Linked DNA regions of Elephas maximus indicus. The protein of the gene in region 2 purifies or fractionates together with the protein of the main gene of each other region. This does not show direct contact. Links are inferred from orthologs where the notes say so. Each region holds a gene or a part of one and is shown on either strand. Other genes may lie near its edges.

Region 1 (7,472 bases), on a different chromosome or scaffold from region 2:
CCTCCAATCTCAGGAATTCCTGCAAAGCTGGAATGCTTCTTCAATAGCCAAGTGAAAAGTTATAATCAAAAGACTTACAAACAAGTCTTTTTTTTTAAGTGTATTGGGTTTATTTGAGCCTTATTAACAACTTTTAAGGAGCTTTTTGGGGGAAACACTAGGAAGAATTGAAGCATGTGTGTTTGGTGCACGCACACACGTACACAGAGAGAAAAGAGGATCTGTGACATTGCTTCTGTGCACTTACAATGGCTCAGAGATGCCTTGCTGAACATAGCCCTCTACATAATGAATGACAGATACCCTCGGAGGCCTCTGCAAGTAAGGAAGCCTGTGGTTTGTCTGGTGGCAAGAACGCTTATCTTCTGAGGGTGCTTTTCTTGGGCGCCTGGCCGATGAGTCAGGAAGGTGAGATTGGAGACAGGGTCACCAGTAACACCGTTTCAGCTTTCTAGAGGAATGAAGCAGTGGTTTTTAAAAAACCATCTTTTGAGTATCTGCTTTATGCCCTACACTTTTCTTATGTTATCTTGGCTGTCCCTACTTCTCAGTCCTTTGACGTGGGTATACATATTCCCCATTTTACATACTGCTGAGTTCCCTTCCCTGCTTTATTTTTCTCCATACATTTTCATTTTCTAATATACTGTATAACAATTGATTTTATTTATCATCTCTCCTCCCTAGAATGTAAACTCCAGGTGTGTCGGTATTCTCATCTGTTTTATTCAAAGCTGCTTTCCTGGCACAAGGAGGGAAGGGAGGGAGGGAGGGAGGGAGAGAGGGAGGGAGGTAGGCAGGCAGGCCCAGAGAGGCTAAGTGACTCTCTCTGTCAGAATACCAGTGAATGACGGAGCTAAGATTTGACCCCAAGCCCACGTACCACGCTGACACACTAGACAATAGTGGCTGTGAGGATTAGAATCTAAGGCAGATTTTAAGGGAGAACACGCATTTAGTGGCTGGTAGACTAATGAAGAGCTGCAGGCAAAGAAAACCAACCCATGTAAAGGCATCAGGGATATAAGCCTAACTTCTGATCCTTGAGATTTGTGGGGCGGGTGCAACATAATATAAGAGGCTGGAAAAGCCTGGCGATCAGCAAAGAAAATGCAGACCTTGAAATCCTTCAAATTTAGGCAACAAACAGCCCTGGGTGGTGAGTATGGTGTCCACAGTGCCCATCATCTGTATATATGGTAATCCTTAAGAGACTGAGAATGACCTGGCTTCAAATCCTGAACCCACTGTTTGCTACTGTGTGACCACAGGCAAATTCCTTAATCTCTGTAAATACGGCTAGTGCAAATGGGTTGTTGAAGACTGACTGAAATTATACACTTGCAAGCACATAAGCACATAAATGGAGACCATGCCCACTACACATCATTTCTATTGTATCAGTGTGGTGTGGCAGCAGCATATGGTGCTTTAAAAGAGGACCCTCGTGGTGCAATGGTTAAGAGCCTGGCTGCTAACCAAGAGGTTGGCAGTTGGAATCCACCAGCTCCTTGGAAACCCTATGGGGCAGTTCTACTCTGTCCTATAGGGTCGCTAGGGGTCAGAACTCACTTGACTTGGCAAGGGTTTTTTTTTTGTTGTTGTTGTTTAGTCCAGAGAAGTTAGAAAGGTAGCATTCTTTTTATTAAGAGTGCTAAAGGATTTTAAGCCTGGTCTAGGGCAGCACCAGGGTACCTGGGTGGTGGAAATGGTTAGCAACCCGCCTGGGACACCTGGGAAGAAAGGCCGGATGACCTGCTTCTGAAAACCCTAGTGAGCACAGGTCTACTATGGCACACATGGGGTCACTATGAGTTGGAATCTACTCAATGCCAACTGGCTTTTTTTTTTTTTTTTTTTTGGTCAGGACAGCACCTGCTTTGCTTGACAGCTGAGTTGGAATAGAATAAACTAGTTAGGGCAGTTTGCGCGGGGGGGCGGGTGGCGGCTGGGGGGCTGGGCAGGCCTCAAAGGGCATCTTTGGGTTGGAAAGAAATGTCCAAAAGGATCCCGATCATTTTGCCGGCTCCCAATTCAGAACAATGAAACTGGTATGAACTAAGCTAAAGCACACCTCCACCATATTAGGGAACTTCATTGTACCCGTTCAATTAACACTGCGACCCTATGAAGCTGCTATCATTATTACACTAATCGTACTAACGCGGAAAACTGCGGTTTCGAACAGTTAGATGATTTAACCAAGGTTACACATCTAAGAAGAGGTGGGGCAGAATTCAAACCCTGGCAGCCTCACTCCCGAGGGCCTCGATGCCGAACGATTAAAGATGCCACAAAGAAACGACATTCCTGTAGCGGTAGGGTTTCACGCAATAGAGAACCATGGGTAAAACTAAACGTTTCGTTATTCAGGTTGGCGAAGTGCTGGGATTGTCCTCCCAAATCTCTGCTGAAGCTCAAGTAACAGCACTTTCAAACTGGGTTTGAGTAGAAACCAACTTCCCTCTCTGCCTTTTCTGTTGGAGATCCTGGATTAAAAGATTGTGCCCATCTCAATTCCGATGCCGGGCGTCCTGCCTCTCCCCACCCCGTCCCCGGGTCCTCGAGACGTTAGTCTCGAAGTGGGAACGTCCCTAACAGCTAGGGGACGGATGAGAGACATCAAATTCACGCAGGCCTCCCCGACTTGGAATGGGCAGATTTCCAGAAGAATCTGCAGAACTGGGATCTTAGTTCCAAATGCTGCCCAAAAAAGGCGCCCTGAGAGGAGCGCGGCAACCCCCACTTTAGCAGAGCGAGCTCCTCCAGGGGCTGTCTGCCTCCACGAGAGCTCCAAAATTGGCAACCTAGTCCTCGCAGCCGCCTTTTTTTAACCAACATTCTCCAAAGTAGTGAAGAGGCGGGTGATTAAAAATGCAAACTGCAGCGGGGGCTTCAGCAGGTAGGCCCAGGAGCGCGGGGCATCGGGCGAGAGGAGACCCCGCGACCTCAGGCGCCCTCAGCTACCGCCCGGGTTGGTGCAGAGGCCGGGAGGAGCGCTCTGAAAACCTTCTCCCCGCCGGCCTCTGCCCCCGCTTCCGCCTCCCAGGCCGCCGCAGGACAATGCGCGGCCTCTTTTCCGCCCAGGCTTAGGGAGGGGACTTGGCCGGATTAGGGCCCGCGCCTTCCGGCCGCGCCGGGCCGTGCCGGCCGCACACAGGTGGTTTTCCGCTCGCGAAGGACGGGCCAGGCCACTTTTATATAACAAAGCGCTCTGCGCGCCCGGAACGCGCCTCTCCGCCGCCGCGGCCCCCGCCCGGCCACGCCTTCATCCGGCCTCCCGCCCCGCCCCGCGACGCCTCGGCCCGGCTAGCTGCTCCCCTGGTTACCTGCTTGCTTGGTAGAGCCGTAGATACCTTCCCCGCGACTCCCCGCCCACCTCGGGAGCCAGGGAGTCCAAGTCGGCACTCCTTTTCGACCCCCCACCCCGTCCCAGGCCGCACGGAAGCCAGAGGCCGGCTCTCGGCCTCCGCACCGGTCCGGGAGATCGAGCAACGCCCGGTGCCTGCCGAGCCGGGAGGTGGTACAGCGGGCAGCGGCAAGGAGCGCAGCGCGCAAGCGCGGCCGGGGCTCCGCGTGTGCCGGGCGCTGGGGGTGGGGGGTGCTGTAGCTTGCGCAGGGAAGGGGGGCCAGGCCAAAGTGGGGGACAATGCCAGGCGGGGTGAAGGCTGCAGCCGGCCGGGTGTAGTGAGGCGCCCCTGGGACATGAGTCCTTGTCTATAGTAACCAGTCGTCCAGTCCGCCAGCTGAGCCCCCGCAGCCTGCAAGCCTTTCGGCAGGACTTCCTTCCCACCTTGCTGATGGCGAGGACGCCGGCTTGGCCCAGCGCGCCCTCGCGCACCTTACCTAGGCAGTCCCACCAGACCGGCTCCTCAGTCGGAAGCCGAGCTCGCTGACCAGAAATGATTAACGAGCGCGACCCCCCCGTGTGCGATGGGTGGCGGAAGGGCGGTGATTTAGGTCCCCAGAACAGTCGTTCTTAACGCCCCACGCCACTAGAGCGAAATAAAACATCAGGCTGCCCAACCAGTTTGCTTTTGCAGCCTCCACTTTTTATTTGATAAATTAAAAGAGTTAAAAAAAAAAAAAAACTTCATTGTGCTTGTTTAGACAACCAGACATTTGTTTGTTTGCTTGCTTTAAAATGTTTCAACCAAGTCCTGATTTGTTTCGAAAAACGTAGGATTAGCATTTAACACTTCATCGGTCACTAAAGCCCAGGCAGTTCACCAGTCCCAACAAAGCCTCGGCTAAAAGAACATCAAGCAAACAGAGCTAGCCTTTTTAAACAGGCAAATAAATAAATGCCACACACTGCCTAAAGAAGTGCGGGGGGAGGGGGAGGGTCAAGGCGAACTCGGGCCCGAGTGAATTTGAAGGGAAAAAGTCAGCTTAAGTTTTCCTAAAGCTACCTCGCGAACATAGGCGTCTCGAACAAGGGCTTTTGTGTCTTCTAATTGCACCATTTGTGCGCAAAAGTTCCGACGCGAAGTGTGAACTCTCAACAAAAGGAAACATGAGACAACTGAAGTGCCCTGGTTTATGTGCCCTGCTCCTCCTCCGCCACCGCCTCCTTTTCTTTCTCCTTCCTCCTGCGGAGCCCGCTGTTGCAGCTTGTTTGCACTGGGGCTTATCCGGAGCGGAAATTCCTTTCCGTTTTTGTGAATGACAAACTCATTAACAATTCATCAACACAACCTGTTCCAGCCGGCCCGTCCCCACGGCAACAGCCCCTTCCGCAGCTCGCTCATTGGCTGACTCCGAGAATGTATCCATTGAGACGCTCGCTGTTTGTATCCATTGAGGAGCAGCCTCGCGCAGGGTTGTGCGAAGGCTGAGACCTAGGGACAGTGAGCAAATCGAGGCTTGAATAATCCGAGGAGAAAGACGCCCGGGTGGATTTGAGGTGCAGCCTTGAAGGGAGGGATTAGGAGCTCCTGGACTTTTTTTCCCCTTCCCTTTCGGTAGCCCGGAGTCCAAATTAATTGGATTTCATTCACTGGGGAGGAACAAAACTGCCTGGGCAGCTCCATTCAGAGAGACCCATTGACAGCCCGGCGCAGAGGGAACCGCCGGCTTCACTTCTGTCTCGCCTTCCCCAACCGCTAACCTCGGCTTGGGAAAGGCGAAGCGGAATCAAACCCTGCTCCGGGAGCGGCGGGCTCGCGCGGCGCGCTCGGCCTATGCCTGCCCCGAGGGGCGTCTGGTAGGCACCCCGCCTTCGCCCGCAGCTCGACCCCCATGATAGATACGCTCAGACCCGTGCCCTTCGCGTCGGAAATGGCGATCAGCAAGACGGTGGCGTGGCTCAACGAGCAGCTGGAGCTGGGCAACGAGCGGTTGCTGCTGATGGACTGCCGGCCGCAAGAGCTGTACGAGTCGTCTCACATCGAGTCGGCCATCAACGTGGCCATCCCGGGCATCATGCTGCGGCGCCTGCAGAAGGGCAACCTGCCGGTGCGCGCGCTCTTCACGCGCAGCGAGGACCGGGACCGCTTTACCCGGCGCTGCGGCACTGACACGGTGGTGCTCTACGACGAAAGCAGCAGCGACTGGAACGAGAACACGGGTGGCGAGTCGGTGCTCGGGCTACTGCTCAAGAAACTCAAGGACGAGGGCTGTCGGGCCTTCTACCTGGAAGGTACGCTCCCGGGGCTCCGCGCGCCACGTTGAGCGGAGGGCGCCCGGGTGTAAGCTACGGGCCGCGGACTGCGGGCGGGACTTACGGACTGAAAATGCCCCTGCTGCGCTCGGCTGGCGCTTTGATGCCACGCTGCCTCGCCAGGGCCCGGCCACCCGGCGGGGGCCGTAAACCGCGTGCGTTCCGCGCCGGCTAGCCTGTCCCGCGCAGAAGCCACCCGCTTCCGGCCGCCGGCACGGGCCGTTCTTTTCCAACGAGTTCTCTGGCTGCCTACTCGCAACATCTTTCTTCTCCTGCTTTCTGTTGATCGATTTTGAATTAAGATTTGCAGAACAGGAGAGGTCGTTTCGGTGCAGATTGGCACTTCTTATTCTTAGTCACTTAAAATATTCGAAAAAGTTGCCATTTTGTGTGCTTCCGGAATGAAAAGAAGAAGAGATCCGAGGGGAAGCGGGCAGTCCGTTCGTTCCTCTCCCGAGGGTGCACATTGAAGTGTATTTCTTTTCTTTTTTGGTTTTATGTGTAGGGGGAGGGGAAGGGGCTTGTAGGGTGCTCGTGGCGTTTCCTGCCGCCAGCCTGCGGTTCTCACAAGCTGTGAAAACTACTACGGGATCTCGGGTTACAGTATTGCTTTTCTCGTCCTGGCAGGTGGCTTCAGTAAGTTCCAAGCCGAGTTCGCCCTGCACTGCGAGACCAATCTAGACGGCTCGTGTAGCAGTAGCTCACCGCCCTTGCCAGTGCTGGGACTCGGGGGTCTGCGGATCAGCTCCGACTCCTCCTCCGACATTGAATCTGACCTTGACCGAGACCCCAATAGTGCCACGGACTCGGATGGCAGCCCGCTGTCCAACAGTCAGCCTTCCTTTCCGGTGGAGATCTTGCCCTTCCTCTACCTGGGCTGTGCCAAGGACTCCACCAACCTGGACGTGTTGGAGGAGTTTGGCATCAAGTACATCTTGAACGTCACTCCCAATTTGCCGAATCTCTTTGAGAACGCAGGAGAGTTTAAATACAAACAGATCCCCATCTCGGATCACTGGAGCCAAAACCTGTCCCAGTTTTTCCCTGAGGCCATTTCTTTCATAGGTGAGGCTAATTGACACTCGTTGCTCTGACTTTTAAATGTAAAACTTCCAGCTATTCATAGAGTTTAACGTTTTAATTGTTCTTGCTATTTGCTAATTCGTTGGACTGCAGGTCTCTAAGGTTCAGAGAGCGTTCTTAATACTGGTTTACCTTCTTGCTAAGCAAAGTGCCTTTTGACGTGCTTGCAGACCACGGGTGTAGTTGAAATGCTGATTGTTTCTCGAAATCTTTAAATTCAGTCATTTGAAAGGGGGAGGAGATGACAGTCATTATCAGACAGAATATTCCCACATCTAAGGGCTAAATAGAAGTACCTTCTGTAGACAGGAATTCTGGCATTACTTAATAGTTTAAAGAAGATCTTGGAGTTATTTTAGGACATCAAGTTAATTGTTGGAAAGCAGTTGAATGCGAAATATTGTCCAGTTCAATGATACTGTGATACTGGTAACAGTGAGATAGTGCCTGTAACCTGAACCCAGCAGGAAGAGCTGTGGGCTGGAAGCCTGGGAGAAGCGAATCTCCAGGCATTGTAATGCATTTCCTATTACAAAGGAACTCATTTTCAGGCCATGTCGACATCCTGTTCCTCCTAATGGGCTGTCCCCTGTGACTTCCCTCTCTCTTTTAAAATGCCTGAATACCCCCATTGTTAGCTGCACAACAGTTGGAGAATAATTTAATAGACCCTTGCAGTCTGCTTGTCTGTATAAAAGGCATTCACAACCATATTGTAGGGTTTCTG
Region 2 (7,070 bases):
CCTGATCAGATAATATGTTAATTTTCTGATTTTGATCATTGTATTGCGTTTATTTAAAATGTTAACATTTAGAGAGTGTGGCGAAGGGTATATGGAGATCCTTTGAACTATTTTTTGCAACTTTTTGGTCAATCTAAAACTATTTAAACTGAAAAGTTAAAAAGTAGAAATATGATAATATGAAATTACAGTCTGACCAGTTGTAGAGGGGATGGCTTTGGCAATAAAATGAGAAGAAATTGGTTGGATGCGGAGAGAAATGGTAAAATGAAAAACGACAAGGTTTGATCCTGAGAGAATGGTGGTAATACTAAAGCTAATAGAGTCTGGAAGAGAAACAGGTTTGGAAATAAAGAGGATGACTTTCATTGGACATGCTGAATATTTGTATCAGCTAGCCTCCAGGTAAAGCTGTGCAGCAAACACTGGAAATCTGGCACCAGGATGAAGGAGAAAGGCAATGGCTAAGGGTAGAGATTTTACATAAAGCAAAAAGTTGATGCCATAGGAGTGTGATGTGACTAAGGGGGATGGTGAAGAGAAAAAAGGCTGGTGAGAAGAGGAGCCCAGGGAAGGATGCCAGTAGGGACTGGCAGAGGTGGCGACAAAGATTTCAGAGAAAGGATTAGGTGAAGAAGGCCTATTCCTGAGGAGAGATGTTTGGCCATAGATATTCTCCAATATTTGAAGAGGTGTCATCAGAAAACTACAGCAGAGGTTTTTTAGATTAAGAAAAAAAAGTGTTGTTGTCATTAAGTGCCATCCAGTCGGTTCCAACTCATAGCCACCCTATGTACAAAAGAACGAAACACTGCCCCTGTCCTGCACCATCCTCACAATCCTTGTTATGCTTGAGCCCATTGTTGCAGCTACTGTGGCAGTCCATCTCATTGAGGGGCCTTCCTCTTTTTCACTGACCCTCCACTTTACCAAGCATGATGTCCTTCTCCAGGGACTAGTCCCTCCTGACAACATGTCCACAACATGTGAGACAAAGTCTCACCATCCTTGCTTCTTTCTGCTTTCATTCTGGCTGTACTCCTTCCAAGACAGACTTGTTCGTTCTTTTAGCAGTCCATGCTATACTCAATACTCTCCGCTAACACCAAAATTCGAAGGCGTCAATTCTTCTTCACCCTTCCCTTAAAAAATGGTCAGTACTTAAATCTTGACAAATTTGTAAATGCCCTCTGACCTCTATTTCTGCGTACTTGCTACCTTCTCGGTTAGTGATGATTAGTGGAGTTAGTTGAAATGGGAAGGTTCATTTGTGCTCTGAAAAAACAAGGTTCCAGTCCTTGAAATCACAAAAAGTTAAGAACTGGGTTTAAGATTTAATCTGGGTAAATACAGAGGACAGAGATAACCAACTAGAAGCTGCTAAAAAACTCAAACAAAGCAGTGAGCTGGGTGGGACATAATGAACTACCTGGAGAGGAAAATGATTCCTGGGGTCCCTTCCAACTCTACAATTCAATAAGCCTCTGTTTTTCTCTTCTCTTAAAAGGAAATAATAGTATTGACTTCATACGGCTTCTGTAAGGATTACAGGAGCTAATGTATATAAAAGTGCCTGGCACAGAATAGATGCTCAGTTTCTATCAGTTGAATGTGAATCAGTTCAATGGACTAAGAAATCCCAGTCCAACCGTCCGAGGAAATACCAACCACAGCCACTAGAGGGCAATCTCGGTCACTCTCTTCAATGAGACAAGTGCAGCCTGAGGTTGCAGGCGGCCTCACCGGATACACCAGCCTTTCCTATGCCGGGAAACACTCCCACTCAGGAAACCTGGCTTAGTGCTGAACTCCACGGTGTTTTCTCTGAGTCACTATATTCTCCTGCAGTTGCAAAATGATCTGGCAAAAATCCCTCAAAGGCTCTTACTGCTCACTGAGTAACATCCAAACTCCTTGCCAGAACCCAAGACCTTCCCTCACTCGATCTGGCCGCACCCAGCCAGCCTAAACTCCCCTTACTGCTTTAAACCCCAGTCACACTGGACAAGGCATGCTCCCGACCCTGTGCCTTGGCTCAGGCTGCTCCTCCTCCTTGACACCTTTCCTCTAGCCAAAAAAAAAAAATAGCCAGGCATGCTGAAATGCCACTGTTTTTCCAATGGCTCAATGCCACCTCCTCCATTATCCCTCCCTCACTTTCCCAGAAAGAGTGATCTCTCCCACCCCTGAGCTCACACTAGATGTTACATCCATTTATCTTGTATCCAACTGACTTATGTGTATACATTTTATCTCTTCAGTAGATAATAAACTCCAGGAACAGAGAGGCCAGTAGGTAATTTGTCCAGGGTAACACAGCAAGTGAGTGGCAAAAATGGGATTCTAACCTGGGCAATTCGGCTCCAGAGAACTCCTGCTCTTAACCACTAATTCATACTACAATCTTTCACCAGCTGCAGTGCCTAGCTCAGAGCTTTGCACACAGTGACGTTGAATAGTTTATCAGATGAATAGCTGAAAAAACTTTGATCTAATTTGCACCTCTTGAACCGTCATTGAGTTATGGGGTGTCGGGAATCAGCAACTCATCCATCAGAGTTGGAGTGCCTGGCCGTGGGTCTAATGATGAGCAATTTCAGAATTCTAATTACGATTCCGTTTTGCCTTTTGGTCTGGAACACATACAAGGATCTAAAAACATCCTTACTTACTGAAGCCTAGGAGATGTCTCCTTTTGTGAAGCTTCCAACGTATATTTTCAGTGTGAAATGAGGGAGGTGGACTGGATGCTCTGAGGGTCTTTTCTTCAGTTCTAACAGTCTGACTCTGAGGGACTAAGTACGGGATCAGAAAAAGCTTCTGCCTCCATATCAGGAGACATCATTTTGAGTCTCAGAGCTGTCATCACCGTGAGGTGACTGTTTACCCAAGTCAGTTAATCCTAGTCTCAGCTTCCCCATCTGTAAAACGTCATCTATTCAGTGCCAGGCACGGGGAGGGGGGGATGATACAGTAATGGACAGACATGGCCTCTGCTCATTCAGCTAAGAAAATCGGATGACACTTATATTTTAGGGTTGTCCTAAACTGAAATGATCCAAGCATTCTGTAAACTGCAGTGTCTGGTACAGGTTCACGATGCTCATCTTGCCAGGGTTCCCATTTTGCCAAATCCAATGGCAACAAAAACGTTTCCAATTTTGCGGTTTTGGGGAAAATCCAGATAGTGTTATCTTAATCAAACCCAGTCACCTCTGCATGCGGCCTTCTTGCCTCTCTCCTGCCTCCCAAGTAAAAGTTGGCTGGGGCTATCTGTGCTCCGGGCACTAATCAAGCAGCAGACCGCCACTGCTGCAGTTGCTGGCAGAGGAGAGGTACCCACAGCCCACTTCCACAGGCTCTGTCGACAAGCCAGACGCTGGGAATCTGGACCCCTGGGTTCACCAGCTCTCACTTGAGCTGAAAGGCTCCAGGTCACCAGGCCCCTCTGGAGGCAAGCCACATCTGTGATGAAGCCATCTTGCAGGGCTACTGTGAAATACCGAGGCTTATCAGGGGCGAGCCTGGCCAAACGACAAGGGGCCGGCGAGGGTTCCATCTCGAACCCCTGGGCGCGCCTCGGCCGCAGCCCTTCCTTCGGGAAGTCAGCGACACGTCCCGGCTGCACCACACACCCGCTGGACGGCTTCGGGACAAGTTCACCGGCCAGCCGTACTGGGCTCGTCTCTCCCCGGGGGGGGCGGTCCGGACCAGCCCTAAGACCGCCCCGTGGAGCCCGCGGGCGCCGAGGACCACAACGCCCGCAGGAGACAATCTGGGCGCGCTCAGGAGCGGACCACGTGACGCCCGCGGCCCAGCCTCGAGCTGCGCGGGAGCCAGGGGGCGGGGCGCCAGGGGCGGGGCGGGGCGCCAGGGGCGGGGCGGGGGCGGGACCCGGCGCGCGCCGCTCCGCGGTGACAGGGCGGGCGGGAAGGGGCGGGGCCTCGGGCGCAGCCGCCGGGGGGAGGTGGGAGGGGAGGAGTGGAGATGGCGACGGCGGCGACTGAGGGGGGCGGGGAGCCCCGGGGAGCTGATGGGGTCTGCCTGGGGGTCCCGGGGGAAGTGGAGGTAGTAAAGGGGCAGCCGTTCGACGTGGGCCCTCGCTACTCGCAGCTACAGTACATCGGCGAGGGCGCGTACGGCATGGTCAGGTGAGGGGGCGTCCCAGGGGAGGGGGCTGTTTAAGCGATCGGGGTGATTTAAGGGGAGGGGGCTCCGAGAGTGGGGGAGGAGAGGGGAAGGGGTGCTGAGTACTTCCTGAGATGTGGAGACTCGAGCGTCCCGAAGAGGCAGGGGACTGAGGAGGCTCGGGGAGCGTCCCGGGGAGGGGACCTTTGAGTGCCTTCTGGGGGAGGGGGCGCTGCGTGCGTTCCAGTGGGAGGGGGCTTGGAGGCCTTGAATGGATCATTCCATACTGAAGGGAGGGGCTTCTGAGTGTATCGAGGGGACCTGTGGGGACCTTGGGAGGAACGGGTGGAGACCCGGGGCCGAAGAGGTTAAGTGTTCTTGGGGAGGTAGTATCCTAAGGGGGAGTAAAGGACCTTCTTTGGAGAGAGGATGCCTGGGATTCTCCCACTGAGACTGTGCCAAAACAGTTTGGGAGAGAAGAGTAGCGCTTAGGGCTGGGCAGGGTGGGGCAGGGCTTTGGGCTGGGGGCCAGAGGCCCAGTGAGGGATGAGGGCCAGGAGTGCCTCCCTGCATCCTTTGGGAGGGGTCTGTGAACTCTCCCAGCCTCACCGGCTGCTCTGGGCTTCTGTTCCTGCGGGAACAGCTCTACTGCCCAGGTACTTCACCCTGACACCAACCCCTGCCTTGTCCCTTCTTTCCAGCCCTTCCTATGGCCCCCTCCGTCTCACTGTATTTGCCTCACTGTATGTCCTCTATTCATCTCCATCCCTGGACCTGTCTGGGGTTCAGGGCGCACACCCTGTGGGAAGAGGAAGATGAAGGTTCAGGGCAACTAGAATGAAAGGGGGGTGAGAATAGGGGATGTCAGCGAGCGGTCAGCCTCTTCCTCCGTTTGTGAAGTCACCAAAGGGCTGCCTGGCTGGTCCCCTGCCTTCTCCCTAGAGATCCCAGGCCTCCCCAGCAGGAAGGAACCATCATTGTTTATGGCTTGACCAGAGCCCTCTCCTGCTCCCTTCCCTCCCTGCCAAGGCCTGGGTGGGGCTACCAGTCCTGGACTCCCCCTTTATAAGGCCACACCATCAACATCTCTCTGGCCCTCTCAGCTCAGCTTATGACCACGTGCGCAAGATTCGTGTGGCCATCAAGAAGATCAGCCCCTTTGAGCATCAGACCTACTGCCAGCGCACGCTGCGGGAGATCCAGATCTTGCTACGCTTCCGCCATGAGAATGTCATTGGCATCCGAGACATTCTGCGGGCACCCACCCTGGAAGCAATGCGGGACGTGTATCCTTCACCTCTGCCGGATGGCTGGCCAGGCGTGGCCTTGGAGCTGGGCTGGGGACAGCATTGGCATTCTTTCTGCTTCCTTCTTCCCTACCACCTTCCAGAACAAACCCAGTAAAAGAAACTTTCTGGCCCGAGAGGCCACACACAGAGTGTTAAAGGATTGGGGCCTTCATTGAATCCTGGCCTGCTGCAGCCAGGCCATGTAGCCTTGGGCTAGTCCCTTTTCTGCCCTGTGCCTCAGTAGGGGGCTGGGTGAGATAGTCTCTATGGGAGCTTTGTCTTCTGACATCTGCAGTTCTGTGACATGATCCAGCCTCTGCCCACAGTTGGTTCTTGCTTAACAGACTGATTCTTTGCTCTCTAGACCCCAGACTGGAACGAAGGCAGGAAGGAAGAAAACTGCCTTTCCTTGAGGGCCTACTATGTGTAGAGAGCTGTGCCTGCCAAGTGCTTTGATGGTTCTTATTCTCCCTCCCAACTGCCCTAAGAGATGGGCCTTGTGAGCTCTATTTCAAAGATGAGGAAAAGGAGACTCAGAAAGTCCAAAATCAAGTGCTTCTGTTGCTGCCTCTTCCCCTTTCCCAAATAAGAACTTGTCTTTTCTCTGGGATTTCCCTCTCAGAACCCCACCCAAGTCACCTCTGAACTTGAACCTTGCCCAGGGAGGGACAGCCTAACTTTTGTTGGCCTCCTCTGATATTGCTTTCCTGGTTTGTTGTCCACTTCCTGCCTGGCTCGATGGCTTCTGTTTTCAGCAGCTTATGATACCATCACCCCTTCTCCCATCCCAGACCGCCACCCAAAGTAAATAAAAACCAAACCTGTTGCCATCGAGTTGATTCCAACTCAGCAACCTTGTAGAATAGGATAGAGCTGCCCCGTAGGGTTTCCAAAGAGTGGCTGGTGAATTCAAACTGCCAGTGTTTTGGTTAGCAGCCATAGCTCGCTGTAGCTCTTAACCACTGCATCACCAGGGCCCCAGCCTCCACCCAAGAGTGGGGATTTGCCCTGTAGAGTCTGCAGCCTCCACCACAGACTGGACAGGGAATCTCTGTGCTTACCCTGACTTGCTGTGTGACCTTAAGCCAGTCACTGCCTCTTGCTGGGTCTCCCCATCTCTAAAGCAGCAGGGTTGGTCCACATGTCCTCAGAAGGCCCTTTTGAGGCTGATTCTAAAAGATATTCAGTACTTATTCCTCCAGAGACAAGCCAAATGGCATTTATTTATATTTAATATTTGTTTTATCTTAAAATGTAAATGTACATTTATTCCTCAATCTTCTGATTTTTGGCCAACGACTCTTCTTTGAGTAGGAGTGTGCTGTTGGGAGTATCTCCTCATTTTTCTTGCGCAAACCATTCCCATCAGGCAGGAATTTAAAAATAAGCAAATATTTATTGCATGCCAGATGGTGTTCATGCATTATCTCATTTAACCCTCTCAACAGCCATGTGGCACGGACATTTATAATAGTTGATGTTTGCTGATTACTTACTATGTGTCAAACACTGGGCTGACTGTTTTACATGGGTTTTGTCATCCTGTCCTCACAACCACCCTCTAAAGAATAGTTATTTCCTTCATTTGCAGATGGGGAAATAGAGGCACAGACAGGTCAGAAAGCCAGTGAGTAGTAGAGTAGGGATTTCAGA
Region 3 (6,859 bases), on a different chromosome or scaffold from region 2:
AGGCAAACCCCTCTCTACAGCAGCCATTTGGGTACAGGGACAGGCCTGGGAGCAGAGCCCTGTGGCAAACCAGGTGGCCTTAACAGGCACACACCCTTTCAGGAGAGAGAAGATTAGTGGGACGGCCAGGGCCCAGTGAATGGCCCCTCCCAATGAGAACCCCACCCCCACCCCCAAAGAGAAAAGTAACAGTCGCAGCAGAGGCAGGTTCCGGAGCCGAGCCGGTTCAGCCCGAAAGTGGCGGCAGGTTTAATAGGCACGTTTAATAGGCTCCTCGCTGATGTTTCAAGTGGGCAGGACAAGGCTCTCCTCCTCACCCCTGCTGGTGAGACGAGGGAGCCGGGAGCCGAGGGAGCCGGGCCTTTGAGTATCCCAGGCCCCAGCCCCTGCCTCTTTCCACCGCGCCATGTGAGGTATTGTGCTCCCTCCCCCAGCCTCCTGCCTACAGCTGAGCCCCCTCCCCGAGTCCCACCCCACCCGCCCCCTCCCCCGCCACGTGAGGTGGTCAGGAGCACCCGTTGAGAGGCGGTGGGCATGGGGGGCCTTATGTGGGGTCCAGCTCAAAGACGCCATCGCTGGTGGGGGTTGTGAAGAAGGAGGGTGGGTCATTGGAGGTGGTGGATCCCTGCCCCCCACTGTCGCGCCCCTGCGAGCGCCTCTCCTCCAGCCTCAGGCTTCGCTCGAAGTCCAGCAGCTGCCCCATGAAGTTGAAGTTGGGGGAGATGTTCGACTTCTTCCTCTTGACCAGGTCATAGGCATCATTGAGGGAGAGGTGGAGCTTCTGCATGAGGTAGGCCACGGTGACAGTGACGGAGCGGCTGACCCCAGCCAGGCAGTGGACGAGCACCCCGCAGTTCTGGGACAAGGCCTCATCTAGGAGGAGCCAGGGGAGGGCAGCCTGCCTGAAGCAAAGGTCCTCCCAGCCCCCGCTTGCCCTGTGACCCAGTGGCCATGCCAGGTCAGGCCTCTGGGAGCTGGCCCCAGCCCTGCGCACCACCTTGAAGTTGCCATCTTGCTTTCTGGGGAAGGGCAGCTAAGTGGCCACCTGGTCTGCCTTACAGAATGGGAGGAATTCTCTGAGGAGGGACCGGGAATCAGGTCTGGGGGGTAAGGGGGGACAAGGGGTGACTCACCAATGAACGCGATGGCCTCTGGGAAGAACTGGGACAAGTTCTGGCTCCAGTGGTCTGAGATGGGGATCTGCTTGTAATGGAAGTCGCCGTTCTTCTCGAAGAGGTTGGGGAGGTTGGGGGTGACGTTGAGAATGTAACGGATGCCCAACTTGGCCAAGCTCTCCAGGTTGGCTGAATCCCGGGCACTGCCCAGGTAGAGGTTGGGCAGGATCTGGACAGGAAAGGATGGCAGCAGCCCCGCTGGGGGAGGTGTGGCACCCTCTGAATCCAGGCCGAAGCTTGTGGGGTCACGTTCCGGCTCAGATTCTGCGTCAGAGCAATCGGAGCTCAGGTACAGGCCGCCTAGCCCCACGACGGGCACTGGCCCGGGTGCCTGGGCTGTGCTGGGGCCGCCATGGCCCTGGAGGCTGGTCTCACACAGGTGAGGGCACTCGGCCTGGAATCGGCTGAAGCCACCTGTGCAGGGAGAGGGAGGGTCCTGCTCACCTGGCTGGGGATAGGGAGCTAACCCCAGATGCCCCCAAAGGGAATGAGAAAGCCTGCAGCTTGATCTATACTGGTGTCCTCATGTGGATCAGGAGTCGCCCCACAGGCTGTGGGCACCCCCGCCACCACCCTGAATCTGCAGCTGCGGCTGCTGTTGCAGAAGGAGCCCAGGGAGACTGACCCAAAGTGGACCATATTCAGAAGGGAGCAATGGGCGCAGACCCAATGACCCTCCTTGGCCACCAACTGAACTGAAGGGGATGGGAAAAACTGGTCCTGTAGGCTCAGGGGAGCCCTGTTCCTGCCCTGGATGTTGGGGAGCAGCTGCATTCCCCCTCTCCCAGCCCCGCCATGACTGTATGCCCCAGAGCCTGGGAGCTGGTCTCCTGCTGCCCTAAGAGGTGGCGTGACAACCATGGGGAGGCCGGAGAATGTGCCAAGCTAGGTCAGGTCAGCCCAGTTCTCCTCATTTTCCAGACTGAGAAATCGGGGCTCCCAAAGGTGAAGGACTGGGCCAAGGTCATGCTCAGACCCCCAGCCCCCAGCTGCCTGGCAGGGAGTCAGAGAGGGAGTCTTACCTCCACTTTGCCCAAGGACGAATTAATTATGAATCCCCAGGGCGGGAGGGGCCCTACCTCCCCAGGCTGGGCTGCAGACACTTACCCTGTAGGTAGTAGGCTAGGTAGCCTTCCTCCCGCAGCTTCTGGAGCAAGGTGCCTAGCACCGACTCGGCTTCCCACTCCTCAACGGCCTCAGCTTCAGCCTCCCCGCGCCGCCGCCGCCCGCCGCCCTGGTCATACAGGAGCACGGGGGCAGGTGGGGGCGGCTGCAGCGGCGGCCCAGGCAGCAGCGCGCGCACCGACAGGCTCCCCCGGCGCAGGCGACGCAGCAGCAGCGCTGGCAGGGCCACGCTCAGCGCCCCACCGATGCGCGCCGCCTCGTATAGCTCACGGCTGCGGCAGTCCAGGAGCAGCAGCTGCGGCCGTGGGGGCGACAGCTCGTGTCGCAGCCACAGGCAGGAGCGACCCAGGCCCTCCATCAGCCCCTTGCGCTTCTGGCCACCGGCACTGCGGAGGAAGGGGAGGTGGCTGTGAGCCCAGGCGGGCGAAGTCGCCTCTGCTTCCCAAGGCAGGCGTCCGGGCCCGCGAGGCACCTCGCCATCGCCGGCTCCTCTCCTCCCACCACCCCAGCCAAGACGCACAGGAGGGCGCCCCGAAGGAAAACACGCGGTGTCCGGCACTGCTCCCTGCTCTTGCGAGAGGAAGGCTGGCCATCTGGTGGCCCCTTAGACGGCTGTGGATCCCTCGCCAGTCCCTCCAGGGACACCACAGGGCCACAGCCACGGCCCTTCACACCCCCTTTCTGCGTCTTTCAGCCTGCCAGCGATCACTCCCCAAGTTCAGGCTTTTGAGTTTGGGTGCGTGTGTGTGCTGGGGGCGGGGGGGAGTTCAAGGCCCAGTTCCCCCCGTCCACGGCCAGGCAGGCCCGGGCACAGAGGTGACACCCAGGTGACGGGCCTCGGCGGGCCCTCTTGGAGCTGAGGTGTCCTGATTTCCCCAGGGAAGACAGGACAAAAGGAGAGAGACCTGGAGTTGGGATCAGGCGGCGAGCAGCCACTTTCAGACGTCGTGGCCACAGCGGGGCGTGCGGCGCTGTCCCCGGGCGGCGAGTCCCCAGGCCCGGCTGCTGGGCAAGAGGCAGGGCTGCTGAGGAGGCGCGCACGTGGAAGGCCAGGCCGGCTCTGCCAGCGCTCCCGCCACTTGCTGGCCCTGGACCCAGCTTCTACTCTGGAAGCCGCTCCTTTTGGATGCGGAGCCGCAGCTCAGAGGGGCGGGGCAGGGGCGGGCAGGGGAGGGCTCAGGGTGGCCAGGGAGCCAACAGGTTCCAGCGAGAGCAGCTGGGTGGGCCCTGCAAGTGGCGCGCTAAGCTGGGGCTCCCACCAAGGCGGGACACGATGGGGCAGAGGCCAAGGGCAGTCAGGGGCCCAGGAAGGACTGGTCAAGCACAGCTCCCCTGGTGGCGCCACTCGGCCAGGAGGTGGGGGAGGGGTGGGGTGAGGCCCAAAGCCCAGCGTCCCTGCCCCAGGGGTTGCCTCCAACCCAACTGACTCAGTGAGTCTGGACCTCAGCGGCACCATCTGTATAGTGGATGCACGACAGCCACCACCTTGGGCTACTGTGGGATGCCGCTGACATCGTGGAGGGGAGGAAGAACCGGGATCGGAAACCCACCACTGTCTTTGGCCCAGAGCTCCCACCAAGGGCTAGGCAGGCAGAAGGCAGCCCCTAGGCTCCCCCCGTGGGCTTCAGTGGGACAGGCCTGGCCGAAGGCACCCAGAGGCTCTGACCTCCAAACCCCACCCCACCACACTCTGCTCCTACCACATTGCTCAACTCCTCAAACACATCCACCTTCTCAGCCAGCATATCCACCCAGTCACCCCGGCCAGAATCCTGGGAGTCACCCCTTAATCAGCTCCCCGCTGCCAGAACTCAGCCTTTCATTCAGCAAGGGCCAGTGGGCTCCATCCCATCCATAGGAACAGGGTGATAAGCCAGGCAGAACACACGGTGCTCAGAGTCTAGCAGGACAGACCAGCAGCAAACACAATAATGTCAGGTTGGGACAAGTGCTGAGACAATGAAACGGGACAATGTGATGGGGGGTTCTAAAAAGGTGATCGGGTTTGTCCCTTCTCTGCTTAAAATCCATGAAAAGCAAATCACAGTGTTGAAGGAAAATGTGCAGCACGTAAGACAAAGCTCGGAAATCAATCAGAAGCTTAAGACCAGGATTGATAAATGGGCAGGAATAAAAGAGGAAATGCAACTGGTTCGAAAATGTTTGGGGAAATGTTCAAGCTCAGGCATGGAGGAAAGCAAACCCAAAAAACCAGGTAACACTCCCCACCAACTACAGTAGCAAAATCAAAGCATTTCAAAATAAGAATGCCTAGTGCTGGCAAAGTTGCTGTGCAACTGGTATGCTGCTGTATTGGCGGGTAAAACCCTATTGGAAACTAATTTGGCAATATGTATCAAGAAAAATAAAAATATCCTTTCCCTTTGACCACTTCTGGGAATCTACCTGAAGAAAATAAGCTAAAAGAAGGAAAAGCTATCCACAGCAGGACGGACACCACAAAACGTTTTTTTAAGGCGTGAAAAATGCCAAGCAACCTGAAGTCCAACGTTTAGAGCAGTTATGTACGTATGCCTGTATGTCTGTTGAAAACACTGGTCTCATGAGCCAATAGAGCAAGATGAGAAAATGCTTGGGAGGTACTGCTGAGTGGAAGAGAACAGATCCCAGAAAGCTAGGCCTCCAGTTTGCCCCTCCCCCAGTGGGCCTCCAGCCTCGGACTTCTGGAGCACTGTCAGTGGACTGATCTCTAGCCATGCCCCATCATGTCCCTGCTTAAGAACATGCAAAGACCTACCCTCCCTGGCCTCCAGGGCGGTTTTACTTAAACCGCCTCCATGGGGGGAGGGTGGCCTCAGGCAGCTGGGCCATGTCCCCCTTTCTCTCTTGCACCTTGGTCCCTGCCTCCAGCATAGGTCTTCCTCTGCCATCTGTCCAGATTCTGCCCATTTTTTTGGACCCCCCCACAAGGCACTCTCCTTCAGGCATCCAAGAAAAACAGGAAGTCTCACGGGCCAGCTGTGGTCTCCCTCCTTGGTGCTCCCTGAGGCTGTCACTCCAAGAGCCTGCAGATTGGGGGCTCATTTGCCCCTTTCTCGGTGCGCTCCTGGGGCTCTTGTCTCTCACATCCTATCTCCAGGGAGGCATATGTGGGCACCCGCTGCAGCTGGGGACAGGACCTTGGGATGGGCAGGGGCTGAAGGCACCAAGGAGATTGCCCAGCATAAGTCTGCTGTGGCCAGCGAGGAATTAATTGGAGAGACATGTGCCCTGACTGGTCCTGCCATGGGGACTCAGTGTAGTTGGAGAGAGTGTCACCAAGCTCTGGGAGATAGGAGCTCCTGAAGCGTCTAGGGTGCTCTCTGGACAGGACCCCCTGGGGGTGACTGGAGCTGCAGGGGATGCCTAGGTCCCAATAACCCCCTGGGAGGACGGAGCCTGTGTGTCCCAAAAGCTCCATTGCGGGTCTATTGCTCCAGACCCCTGCTGGCGAGGCCTCCCACGGAGGAGCCGGTGGCCGGCTGTGCCTCGGTGGTTCCCGGCAGCCCGGGGAGGGAGCATTTAGGAGTGGGGGGGATTCAATCTCGAAAGTGAGTGCTCGGCTCAGTGCCGGCGCCAGCAGCGCCCGCAGCGCCAGCAGCAGGACGAACGAGAACCTGTTGCCATCTCCGCACTGCAGGGCTGAGCGCCGCCAAGCGCCCCCCCACCACGCCGAGGCCTCCCCGACTCCGGCCCCCTGCAGTGCCTGCTTGGGTCGCCGGCCCTGCCTCGCGGCCGCTCCCGGGAAGGCTCGGGCAGGGGAGCGCGCCGGGCGCCCGGGCCTCGCCAGGCCCGCTCTGGCGGGCGGAGCCAGGCTGCCGGCGGCGCGCTCGCCGCTCTCCGCAGGGTGGGCGCTGCACTCGCCGCCCCCGCCCTCTCCCTCTCAGGCGGCCCGGCGCGGCCAGACCCACCGGATGCCCCTGCCTTAGCCCCACCTGGCCAGCAGACCCTGGAGGCCGTAGGGGCGCCGCCGCCCTCAGGCCCCGCGCATACCGCCTGTGCCCTCTAGTCCGGGAGTCTCCGGAGAGCGGCGCCCCTCACCCCGAAATGCACCGTTCCCACCAGGCACAGTGGCAGGATTTCGGCTGTGGCAGCCTGGTCACATGGCCAGGAGTACAACTCCCAGAGACAGCGCTGCTGCCAAATTCAGTCTCTTTGCCACCAAATCCACTTCCTGCTGGGGATTGCTTTCTGGTTTTCCTGGTCTGTCCCCTGGCGGGACTGGGAGCTCCTCCAAGGCAGGCCAGTGTGTGCCCGGCCCCCAGCTGGCCCCAGCCCCACTGCCGACGCTCAGGAAGAAATGCTTGCTGACAAAGAAGACATGAATGAATGAATGAATGAAACCAATTGTTGCATGAGAGAGCCCAGGAGGGTGCCTCGTGCTTTTCCCTCTGCCTGTCTTCCCCCTCCCCCGCACCCAGACACGCACAAGCACACGTGCACACCCAGCCCTCCCCCACCACACCGCAGACAGGCACATGCACAGCACGCAGACCCCGGCCTTCAGGAAGCCACCTACTACGTGCTGGGAACAGTTGGTGCCCCTTGGGTCCCAGCAG

The links.
Region 1: the proteins of MAPK3 (region 2) and DUSP6 purify together in Homo sapiens (affinity purification with mass spectrometry; 7 studies listed by BioGRID and IntAct, with this or other methods). This does not show direct contact. The link is inferred for Elephas maximus indicus from reciprocal best matches to the Homo sapiens genes MAPK3 and DUSP6.
Region 3: the proteins of MAPK3 (region 2) and DUSP9 purify together in Homo sapiens (affinity purification with mass spectrometry; 4 studies listed by BioGRID and IntAct, with this or other methods). This does not show direct contact. The link is inferred for Elephas maximus indicus from reciprocal best matches to the Homo sapiens genes MAPK3 and DUSP9.

What each region holds. Positions count from the first base shown.
Region 1 is NC_064822.1:153,391,761-153,399,232, reverse strand, and holds the start of DUSP6 (dual specificity protein phosphatase 6), read left to right. Parts: upstream 1-4,649; 5' UTR 4,650-4,698; coding exon of another isoform or gene 4,699-4,841; 5' UTR 4,842-5,110; coding exon of another isoform or gene 5,111-5,241; coding exon 5,242-5,641; intron 5,642-6,289; coding exon 6,290-6,727; intron 6,728-7,472. Other genes in the region: uncharacterized protein LOC126076469, read right to left, coding at 3,330-3,978, 4,358-4,649, 4,699-4,841, 5,111-5,243. UniProt on the Homo sapiens protein: Dual specificity protein phosphatase, which mediates dephosphorylation and inactivation of MAP kinases. Has a specificity for the ERK family. Plays an important role in alleviating chronic postoperative pain.
Region 2 is NC_064830.1:89,118,876-89,125,945, forward strand, and holds the start of MAPK3 (mitogen-activated protein kinase 3), read left to right. Parts: upstream 1-3,987; coding exon 3,988-4,151; intron 4,152-5,231; coding exon 5,232-5,414; intron 5,415-7,070.
Region 3 is NC_064846.1:2,702,194-2,709,052, forward strand, and holds DUSP9 (dual specificity protein phosphatase 9), read right to left. Parts: upstream 2,659-6,859; coding exon 2,283-2,658; intron 1,590-2,282; coding exon 1,134-1,589; intron 874-1,133; coding exon 545-873; downstream 1-544. UniProt on the Homo sapiens protein: Inactivates MAP kinases. Has a specificity for the ERK family.